3 linked regions of the Rhinolophus ferrumequinum genome follow. The protein of the gene in region 1 interacts with the protein of each later gene in a pairwise test. Links are inferred from orthologs where the notes say so. Each region holds a gene or a part of one and is shown in the gene's direction. Other genes may lie near its edges.

Region 1 (3,745 bases):
CTGTAGTTGATCAATACACCTTGAATTTCACAACATAATAGGATGGGTTTAAGAAGGTATTTGTCTCATCGGGGAATCTTTGCACATCTCAGCTGGGTCAAACGACAAATGTTTGTCTATCTTTTGCCGGAGGAGTGAGAGTTTGGAAGGAAACTTTTCCCTCCCATCCTTTCCTAGGATCTTTTCTACCCCCAGAGTACGTCCTCCCTCGATTTGGACTTCCTTTTCCCTTTGCCCTTTTGGCTTCTTCCACCTACTCACCTGCGAAACTTCCCTCTCACCTTTGTTGTCTCTGCCCCCGCCTCCGCAACCTTTCCACCCAGACTCGCTCTCCGCCCCCTTCTTCCTTCGACCTCTCCTCTCTCCGTCCCCACGGGTATTCTTCGCTAATAACCTTTTCCTCCCTTTCTTGCTTCCCAGTTCCCCTCTCCCTGGTCAACCCCCGTCCCTACCACCCTACCCCAGCTGTCCTCTCGCCCAGCACACCTACATTTCTGCTTTCCTGCCACCTGTTCTCCCCCTATTCCCCTAGATGTTCACTGCCTCTCCCGGCTGTTCTACGCTCTTGGCGGCTGTCAGCGGAGAGCCCAGAGACACTTCTGGAGCCTGTCTTCGGCAGGGTTAGCTGGCGAGCCCAGCGGGGAGCCGGTGGGGGAGGGCAGGTGGCGCGGGGCGGAGTGGGCTCACTCTAACCCGGGAATGACGGTCCCGGCCAGGCCCGCCCCCTGAGCCCTCGGATAGGCGGAGCCGCTCTCTGACACGCCCTCTCCCCGCCCCGTGCCGCCGCCGATTGGTCCAGGTGCGTGTCGGGTTGGGCGGCTGGGCCCTGGCGCTCGCCCCCTGGAAGGCAGCAGGGGCGGTTGAGAAGTGAAGTCTTGGCCAGAGTTTGCTTCTTGCCAGGAAATCCGCGGCGGCGGCGGCGGCGGCGGCGATTCCCGGCGGAGCCGAGGCCGCCTTGCTCCGGGCTCCCTCAGCGGGCCGCGGAGAGCGGAGCTGACTCTGGGCTGCGGCGCCGGGAGCCGCTGCGCGCCTGGGGCAGCTTCTCTTTCCCAGTGAGTAACTTTGCCTGGCCCGCCTCGCTCCGCGCCTTCCCGCTGGGTCCCCGGCAGCCGCCTCAGGTGCGGGCGTCGGTGGGGTGTGGGGCAGCTTCGAGCCCGGGAGGCGGTGGGAGCGGCGCCGCAGCCTTCCTTTGCGACTCTCCTCCCCGCTTGTTGGGGCTGCGGGGGAAGCCGGGGTGTGGTGGGCTGGCCGCGCTTGTCCGGGGAGGAAGGGACCGGCTGCTCTGCGCCCAGTGCTCGCCGCCCGGCAGGCGCCTGGGAGAGGCGGGCGGCCCCCGACTGTTACCATTTGGTGGTTCTGGCGGCCGTGTTGCTGATCTTTGCATCGTTTGACTTTTTTTTTAAAGGAAGGGAGAGGTGGGGATGAGTTGTTTTTTATTTCCTGTGTGTATGTTGTCGTGAGACTGTGAGTAGCTGCCTTACATTGCATCTTGTTCGCCTAGAAAGGAATGGGGAGAGATCATACCCTCCATCCCAGCCAACTGTTGCCTGTAAATCTCACCTTTCCCTTTAGGCTAGAGAGGGTGGGAGAGAGATTTGACTTTTGGGGGGATGGGGATTTAAAATATGGAGCTTGATTTGGAAGCAGTTGCACACAAAGCACCATTCAGGAAATACATCACTCGCTTTGCGAAGCTTTATGTCATGTTTTAGGCGAAGGACTTTTGGCTGTATGTAGTGTTTTTCTCGCTATTTCAGTTTTACATCTAAGGCTATGAATCAAGACGTCTGTACCTTGCAGGAGCTACAGTACACTCACACACGGGCTTAACTGTATAGATGTTTCTGTATAGATATTTTTAAATCATAGGAACCAGAAACAAAGTTGAGTGAAAAGCAGTGACAGTGCAAGAGACAGTTGTGAGCTCCGGTTTATGGGAACTGTCTTCACTGTAAGAACTTTCCATTCTTGCCGCAGTAGTACCTACCAGGTGTGATCAAAATATATGGTGAATGTTTAAATTAAAAAAAAAATCAGTAAAAGACACATTGCCATCAATCCCCGTCTCTTTGAACACACTCATCCCATCGTTTTTCCACTTTCTGAAGCATTTCTGGAAGTCCTCTTTCGTAAGTGTCTTTAGTTGCGCTGTTGTGGCTGCCTCGTTGTCCTGAATTGATTCAAAACGTTTACCTTTCAGGGTCATTTTGACTTTGGGGAAGAGCCAGAAGTCGCACAGTGCCAGATCCGGGGAATAAGGTGGATGAGGACACACTGTTATGTGTTTATTTGATAGAAATTGCCGTGCCAGAAGCGAAGTGTGACAGAGCGTTGTCATGATGGACGATGAAATAAAGATACTCATGAAAGAGGACTTCCAGAAAGTGACAAGAATGATGGGATAAGTGTATTTGAAGTGAGGGGTAGTATTTTGAGGGGAATTAATGGCAATGTGTCTTTTACTGTAATAAATTTTCTTAATTTAAATATTCACCGTATCTTTTGATCATAGCTCATATTTGTAAATTAGCCTTCATCCAGGACAGGTTTTTTTTTTTTTTTTCTTACAGTGTATTGTGACACAGCATTGATGAAGTTGGATCTTAGTAGATCAATTTTATTTACTTTGATAGATTTGATTCCCATCTCCACACCTCTTTGGAAAATGGACTTTGTTTGATCTGATATCCTTTTTGGCTTGTCAAAGCTTTGTTGAGCCACGAATAACAAAGTTTTGCCTTTTTAGTTTGTCCAAGTTACACATGTGAGTTTTCCCCTAAGGGTAAAATGTAGGGCAAATCGGAACCAAGGTAGAATAACACTACTTTTAATTTGGCCCCCCTGTGTGTTAACATTCCTAATTCTGTATATTGTCTCTCCTCTTCTCATCAGGTTAGACATTTTTCATTTTTAATTCATTCAGCAATTGGTAGAGAGCTGACTGCATGCCAGGCGTTTCTGGCAGCAGTCAGCTCTTCCCCTGAGTTGTCACAGTCCCACTGGAAGCTGATCCATCCATACCTCTGTTCCACTGGCTACGGCTACTTGAAAGTAATTTGAACAAAGTGCAGTGGCAATTTAAGAGAGGGAGCATGTCTGCTTGGAGTGTGTTAGAAAAGGCCTCACACAGGCACTGACGCCTCAAATTGGTGTGGGATTTTGCCAGGTGCATTCTGGCAAAATGTGGGGGACTGGCATGGAGGGTGTTGCATTATGAGATTATAGTTACTCTGGCTGAAGTCCAGTGTCTGGGGTTGGAATCATAGTCGAGGGCTGCTGTGTTATTCATTTCAGGGCACTTACCTAGCTCTTTGCCTTGCTTACAGTAGATGCTCAAATGTTTATTGAACTGACTTCAACAGAAGCATGAAGGATTTTGTAATGCCAAATTAAGAAAATTGGACTTTATTCAGCCAGTGATACTGAGCTCATTCTAATCAGGAGAATGGCACGATAACAGTTGCGTTTTCCAAAAAGATATCTGCAGCAGTCTGGAGGATGGTGGGGGTCCAGGGGGGAGGTAGGGAGACAAGGTAGGAGCTGTTATGCTGTAAGGGTTAAGTGTTCAGGCTTCTCAGGTCACCTTATTTGAGTTTGAATCTGGTTCTGTCACTCACTATGTGACCTCTTTTTTCCTTAGGTTCTTTATTACATAGGGTTTGGGGAATAAAACTTAGAAAAACATGTTTTTGCTTAGAATAGTGTCTGGCACATAGTAAGGACCTGGTAGATGCGAGTTGTTATT
Region 2 (3,745 bases), on another chromosome or scaffold:
TGGCTGGATCCCCTGCTCTACCCCACCCCTCCTCTGAGGCTCTGGTGCCCCCAGCCTGCTCTGGGTCACAGGCTTGCCGCCCTCCCCAAATTCTGTCACCACCTTCCATACCCTCCTGTCTCCTGACCTCCCCATATGCAAGGTGCTGCTTCTTTCCCCATTTTGTCCACCACACTGGCCACCCTGTAGGCCCAGACATCCTGTGACAGCTACTCTCCAACAGTCCTCTCACCCCATCTAAGGACCTCTGCGCCCCACCCCCACCCCCAATGTGTCCGGCCTCCTGGCCTCATTTCCACCGTTGTTTATCTAAACGACCGGGCAACACCCAGTACCCTGGCCTCTCCCATCATTTCAGAGGATGCCAGGCCGTCTGGAACTCGACCCAGGGGCTGCAAGGCTGCGGGAGGTGCCTCAAAATATCAATGTCAACCGACCCCAGGCCCTAGGGGGCCCTCAGCACTGCACTCACTTCCCCCCATTTACGACCCTGCCCTCCTCTGAAACAGGCTTGACCTCTGACCAAGTGCACCGGCCTGTTCTCTCCTTCCCTCTGCCAATGACCGGCAGGGGACACTCGTCTGCACATGGCCATCTCCTCGGCATCCCACCCCCCAACCCCCGCTTCTGGCCGCATCCCTACAATCCGGTTCACAGCGAGTCCAAGGACCCACCTCTCCTCCCCACTCCCTCGCCGCCCCGCCTCCGCTTCCCGGGAGCCATCACACGCCCGGGTCCTGAGCACCGAGGCCCCTGGCTCTCCCCCTCCAGGCCGTTCCGTCCCCCTCCAGACCGCCTCGTCGCTGCTAGTTTGCACCTGCAGCCGCGAGGCCCGGCTCTCGGTCCCGCCGGTCCGCCGCCTCCCGGCTCCGCATCCAGCCACCGCGTTGCGAACCCCGTGGGGGACAGCACACTCAGTGGGAACGCCGGATCGTGTCTGCAATTCTAGACCCCCCGCGCACCGCCCGAACCACGGGAACCCGCACCGAGCCCTGGTCTCCGCCCGCCGGGCTCCACCCGACGCTCCGCAGCAACCCGCCCCTCGGCAGCGGCCCGCCCCCCGGTACCATTGGCCGCGCCGGCCCGCTTCTCGGCGCGATGATTGGTCAGCGTGCGGGTCGCTCAGGTGGGGCTCCGGCGGCGGCGGCAGCGGCGGCGGCGGTGGCGGTGGCGGTGGCGAAGGGAGCCGGACCGGAAGGGTCGAATCGCCCCGGCGCCCCTCACACCCACTGCGGCGGCGGCGGCGGCGGCGGCGGCGGGGTGGAGCGGGCGGGGTGGCCGGCTGAGCCCGGGGCAAGAGCCGCCAGCGCCGGCAGTCTGCCCGCTCGCTCCCTCCCCCGGCGCGGCGGCGGGAGGCGAGGTGAGCCCGGCGGCGGGCTAGGCCTGGCGGGGGCTGCTCGGGCCGCGCCCCGCCGGGAAGGGCGGCGGGAGGGTTTGCGGGGGGCGTGGGCGGTGTGGCCGGGGTCTGCGGCCGCTGGAGGCCCGTCTGCTGCCCCTGTCCCTCGGGCTACCGCAGTCTCCCCGCCCGCCGGCTGTCAGCAGCCCGGGGCTGCGGGCTCTTGCTGGCACGGCTCCTAGCGGCCCCCGGTGGGGTCTGTGGGCGCCACCTCTCCCGAATGTGCGGCACGCAGCTGCACACCCATGCCGGGATGCTCAGGAGCCGGGTCTGGTTCCTGCGACCTTGGCCATGGCACTGACGCTCGCTGTTCTCGGTTTTCCCCTCGGGAAAGTGGGGAAGTGCCTGCCCTTTGGGACAGGGTTGTTGTCAGGCTCTATGAATGTGTGGGAAAGCGCCTGGGCTGGAGCTCAGTGCACAAACCTGGAGAACTGGGCGGGGCACTGCCCCTTGCCGGTGTGAGTGTGGCAGGAACCCCTCACCGTCCTCCCAGAGTCCCCCATCTCCGTCCTCCTGTGCCTCGTCATTGCTCACTCGGTACCCAGCAAGACCAGAGTGGGTCCCACCCACCTCCCCTTCCAACCCCGACCAGAACACTGCTTTCCTATCCCAGCCACCTACCCTAAACATGCAGCCCCATTACCTTAGGACCTTTGCACTTGGTGTTTCCAGTGCTTGCAGTTGTCTCCAGGATCTGCACATCTGGCTCCTGGTTCTTCCTCTGGTCAGATGTCTCATTTAACAGGAGGCCTTCCTTGACCACCCTCTTTCATCCCTTAGTCATTTTATCTATCATTTTGTTCAGTAGCTCTGTGCGAACAGGTAGTTGTCTGATTTACCCACTGCTTTATCCTCAGTGCTTAGAAAGCACACAGTAAATACTCAGTAGTATCAGTTCAGTGGATGAATGAATGACCCTGCCTGCCTGTTACCTCTGCTTTATCTGTTCACTTAATGACTTCCGACTAACTTGTGAAACATGGAAGCAGATAGAAGCTTGTTCTCATTTTGTGAAACATTTTAATGTTCTTGACCCCTTTATTTGGTAACACTCAGAACACGCTATGATAGAAAAATCATACATTTTTATAATGTTTTAGCTCTAATTTCCTTCCACACATTCAGGAGGCATTTACTGAATTCTACATTATTTAGGTCAGGCTTTCTGCTCGGCCTTGGGGACACAAAGGCAATAGTGACAAGGTCCCTTCCTCTAGAGAGCCGGAGAATGCAGCCATGAAGGCAGACACGCAGACAGTGCCAGGACGGTGTGATGCCCACTGTAGTGGAGGGATTATGCCACGGAAATGTAGGGAATGTGACGGGTGATGCTGGCGTTGGGCCTTGAAGGGTGATGAGAAATTTGCCAGGCAAGGAGAGGCAAAGAACTGGAGAAGGGCAGGGAGAAGGAGGGAGCTTAGCGAGTGTGGGGTCAAGAATCAGCCCGTAGGGCCACCTGTAAGACATTGGGGGGCAGCAGGGGGGAACGGGACTCGAGAACCAGACCTCACCCAGTAATTTTTAAAAAGAAGCCTGAACTCTAAATTTGTAACTCTACTCTCCAGTTTTTTAACTGTTGGCAGTAGCTAATTTAGCCTTTTTTTTTTTTTTTAATTCTGTGAGCCAAGCAAAAAACATTTCATTAAGCTTGGTTGCAGGATTATCAACTTCTAGGGCAAGTTACTGAGGCGGGAAGAGCTGTAATGAGCTAGAAAGGTAGCCTGAGGCCAAGGGAGCTAGTTTGTCCAGGTACTCTCATTTACTTGTCACTGGAGCCCTGTAAGTGGCAGCTATGAAACCCATTTCTACAGAGGAAATGGGGACTCACAGAATCTCAGTAGTCTGCTTTACTGCAGGTTACTGGGAGGTGAAATTTGAACCCAGGTCTCCCCCAGATCATCATTCTTTCCTGGGTCCCTCAGCTGTGAGTATTCTTTGGCTTTTAAGTTGTTCTGGAAGAACAACATCCAATCTAGGTGTTTTCCTTCATTTAACTCTTTATTTTTTCCTTCATAAGGATCCTTCCTGGTTAACAATAATCCTATTTTGGCATAGGATTATTGAAGGATCAAAGGTTCTCTTCTATGGAGAACTTTGATTTTCCTGAGGATTTAATTTTCAGGATACCAGGACTTTACATAATTTGTTGGTAGATTACAATTTGTACTTGGCCTTTTGTGATTGTGTGAACTAATTTCAACACCAGCCTTTCTTTCAGCAATTTATTATGAGGACCTTCAAACATATATACCAAAAAAAACCACAAAAAACAAAAAACAAAAAAACAGAATAGTGTCAAAAATTATCAACTCCTGGTCAATCTTATTTCATCCCTAATCTCATCTACTT
Region 3 (3,745 bases), on another chromosome or scaffold:
GGACAACTGGGGAGGTGTGCCTTCCACCACTGCCCAGAGCTCCTCAGAAGAAGGGAGCCCCGGTTGCCCACAGTAGCAACCTTCTCATTCATCCTTACTGATGTACCCTCATTAAGGCTTGCTGCTCCCCTCCCTTCCCAGTCTCATCTCCCCACTGCCCCACCATTAGTGCTAGCGGGGATCACCTTCCAGATGAACTATTTGCACCCAATTCTTTGTCTCAGGGTTTGCAACCAGAAAATCCACAATTAAGATAACACCTCGATCATCCACCCATCCATCATTAACTGAATGCCCACAACTGTGTGTCTGGCACCATTTCAAGTGCTGGGGACACAGCAGGGAACAGAAGGGACCCGTGTCTGGGGCTAATGAGGCTTCCAGCCCAGTGACCTCAGACTCTTGCATAAGGGTGCCAAGCTGGATGTTCATTCCAAAACCAAGCTGGAAACAAACCTCAGGGCATGGAAACCAAGGCGCTTCTCTGGAGGCAAGAAGAGGCCATTGAAGGAGAGGATAACCCAGGACTTTACAGAGGTTGAGTCCTAGAGGGTAGCACCCATTGCAGGGTTTCACAGAGGAACCTAAGTTTAGGGCGTTCCAACCTTCAAGGTATCAGGTCTCAGGAGGCTGCTGATCTGGTGAACTCTGGGGCCAAGTGGGGGAGGGGTCTCACGCTCCCACTCTAGTCTAAATCCTCTTTGTTTTGCAGACAAAGCAGATCAAGGTTCATTCACACAGACCTGTGGGCTGAATCGGTCCTTTGGCTAGTCTAAGACCGAGAGCAAGCCTCCCTGGGTAGGGAGGAAAGGGTGAGCACGAGGGAGAAGAGTGGGGTGGGGAGGCAGAATCATCCTTTCTAGAAGCCAGCCTCCCAGACTGGACTCTAGCCCCAGCACCCAGAGCCCCTCTGGCCTCTGCACCCCCCCACCCCCACCTAAGGACCTGGGAGCAGCTAACTCCCATCTTCCCCCAGTGGAAAGCCAGCCTCAAGGCTGGGCAGGGTCGGACAGGCGAGCACCTCCCATCCACGCCCTTCCCCTTACCTCCCCACCCTACCCCCCAGGTTGGCTTTCCTGGGTGGGTGGTCAGGGAAGCCCCCTCCCTCTCCCGTGGACCTTGGTTGCAGGTTCCTCAAAACCAGGTGGCTGCACCTTGGGGTGGGGGCAGGAGGAGGCCTTCCCCAGGTTCCCAGAAGGATGTTGCAGGCTGACTTTGGGTGCGCAGTGCCTCCGACCCCTTCAGTATGTACCAGTCCAGTTTCTGCCCCATGGCAGCCAAGCCCTGAGTTCAAGGCCCTGCTCCTGGGGCCGGGCCCTGGCCCACCTCGGGAAGACCAGGATTAGGGTCGCCCTCCTCCAGGGATCCCCGGGCGCCAGGAGTCGGGGGCCACCTGGGAGCGCCCTGAGGGAGGCAGGGCCGAGACGTCAGGTGGGCGGGGCGGGTGGGGCGGCTCCCGGCTCCTGTCCCGCCCGCCCTGACTCACCCAGGCTGGCCCGGGAACTAACTCCGCCGGAGCCCCGACCGCTCCGCTTACAGGGACCCAGGAGTTGGGCCCAGCGTCCGCCCCGAGCGGTGAGTAGGTGGCTCTCCGCCCCTGGGGACTGGATGGCGGCGTGAGGTTCGGGCCCACGAGAGGACCGCCCCAGGTGCTGGCTGGCACTGTGGCCTGAGCCCGCCGCCACCGTCAGGGGCGCAGGGGAGCTGGGGAGGGAGTGGGGGCAGAAAGAGGGTAGGCCCTGGCCAGGCCAAGGACGCTGTTCAGAGGCCCAGGTACGCCTGGCCAAGGACCGATTGAAGACGAACAGGCTGGGGGCGACCCCAGGGGTCTTGATCATGTTCCGGTCTCCTTGGCCGCTGAGAAAAGAGACAACTCATCTCTGTGACCCCTCAAGGCCTCAGAACCACCACTTGGGGGTCTCACCAGCTGCCCCCTCTGGGACTTTGAACCTCAAGATTCCACAGACCCCCAAATCCTGGCAGGGCAGCTTGGAAAAGTACTAGGCTGGGAGTCCCCAGGCATGGGGCCTCCGCCAAGATCTGCTATGAAGGGACCACCTTCCCCCACACAGGTCTCAGTTTCTCCCTTGTGTAAAAGTCGAAGTTTGGACAATGTGCTCTCCAAGGCCTGTTCCAGGGCTGACAACTGCCACGGTGTCTTCCTTGCCCCTTAACGTGGGCTGTGGGTGGGGACAGGGACTAGAGCAGGAACATCCACCTCCACCATGTGTTTGGAGGCAAGCTGGGGGCTTGCGGGAGGCCTGAGAGAGGAGAAGCAAGAGTCAGGCATGGATGGGCGGAGCTAGGGCTCTGTAGGGGGCACACACCTGGTCCTAGACTGGCAGAGATTCTGCCCCCGCCCCGGCCTGGCATGCAGAGCTGCCATCCCTTCAGCTCTCCTCTGCTGGAACCCTCACTGAGGTTCTTTTGGCAGAGATGCTGGTCTCAGTGAGAAATTTTCTCCCTAGCTGAAACAGAGTGGATGCAATCAGACAGATGGGATATAGGGGTCGCGCCTCAAATGCCATTTGTAGCTGTGAAACCTTGAGCAAGTTACTTCTCTCCCTTTGAGTCTGGAAAAAAGTGTCCCCACACTCACCGAGTTGGGATAAAATGAGGCATTGAAAGCGTCTGGTGGCTTTAAGTTGCATGTATATCTGCATTGTTGTTTTTCTTGGGGCCCTTCCCCATCTCGAAAGCCCTTTTCTCCGGATCCTCCCACTAGCTCTGCTCAGACAAAGGGGGGGCCAGCCTTGTGTCTGCGGAATCTTAATGGCAGGTTCTAATAATTGAGTTTGAGTCATGGAGACACATAATGATAGCCCCCCGTGTCTGCCTCTGATGGTGCTGTGTATGCACCTTGTTCCATGCGAGCCACTGGGCCATCTGTTGGGGACCTTGGGGCTCTCTGCCTTCTTGCCTTTGTGGACCTGGGATGGCAGGTGGCGGAGCTTGCACCATAATGAGATGGGTCCTGGAGGGTGACAGGGACTCAGGCAGTAAGTTAGCCCCCGACTCTGTGTGGCATTTCTGCTGTAGCCCCCAGAGCTACTGTTCTTAGGTTAAGTAGCCGAGCAGTGTCCCTTGCAGGGCAGGGGCAACAGTGGGTGACTGGGACTGGACAAGTGTGTGGTGGCTCCCTGGCCCTGGGTGCCCCCTCAGCTCAGCGTGTGTACTTGCATTCATGCCCACATGCACTAATGTGCACACTTCAGAATGACCCCAGGTGTCCCTTTTGGAGGCTGCAATGTACTGTCAGCCACTGGGGGCTGTTGAGATACCCTGGGTATGTTTCTATCTGATTCCCTGGTGACAGATCCACGGGGATGCACTGGGGCGTTTTCATTCAGTTTTTTGTTTAGGATGGTATAAAACTGAGCATGACAGATGGGACATTGCGTGAAGGATCTTGTGTTCTCTGTGCACCTCCTTATGTGTGCCTGGTGCTGGGTGAGTCAGGGCCTGAGTCAGGGGCCCTGAAGCTTGGGTGTGGGCAGGTGTGTGCCCGCCACTTGTGAGCCCATCTCCTTTCTGGTACAGAGGTGGGAGCCTATGATGGGATTAAGTGGGTGGCACCTGCGTCCTGTATCTCCATCCACTCCTACATAGTCCTCACCCAGGAGTCACACCAAGGCTTTCAAAGAACCAAGGGACTGAAAAGGGAGGTGTGGAGGTGTCAGAGTGATTGGCTGAGCTGTGGGACAGGGGTCAGTTTCTCCCCCGGAGATGGGTGGAGGGAGGGCTG

What was found.
Region 2: the proteins of LNX2 (region 1) and MAPK9 interact in binary tests that used the Homo sapiens proteins (3 or more experiments, as listed by UniProt). The link is inferred for Rhinolophus ferrumequinum from reciprocal best matches to the Homo sapiens genes LNX2 and MAPK9.
Region 3: the proteins of LNX2 (region 1) and LRRC8E interact in a two-hybrid assay, tested with the Homo sapiens proteins (3 studies listed by BioGRID and IntAct). The link is inferred for Rhinolophus ferrumequinum from reciprocal best matches to the Homo sapiens genes LNX2 and LRRC8E.

The regions. Positions count from the first base shown.
Region 1 is NC_046287.1:99,650,089-99,653,833, reverse strand, and holds the start of LNX2 (ligand of Numb protein X 2), read left to right. Parts: upstream 1-922; 5' UTR 923-1,052; exon of another isoform or gene 1,053-1,118; intron 1,119-3,745.
Region 2 is NC_046307.1:3,356,029-3,359,773, reverse strand, and holds the start of MAPK9 (mitogen-activated protein kinase 9), read left to right. Parts: upstream 1-1,200; 5' UTR 1,201-1,360; intron 1,361-3,745. UniProt on the Homo sapiens protein: Serine/threonine-protein kinase involved in various processes such as cell proliferation, differentiation, migration, transformation and programmed cell death.
Region 3 is NC_046301.1:56,866,897-56,870,641, forward strand, and holds the start of LRRC8E (volume-regulated anion channel subunit LRRC8E), read left to right. Parts: upstream 1-1,485; 5' UTR 1,486-1,575; intron 1,576-3,745. UniProt on the Homo sapiens protein: Non-essential component of the volume-regulated anion channel (VRAC, also named VSOAC channel), an anion channel required to maintain a constant cell volume in response to extracellular or intracellular osmotic changes.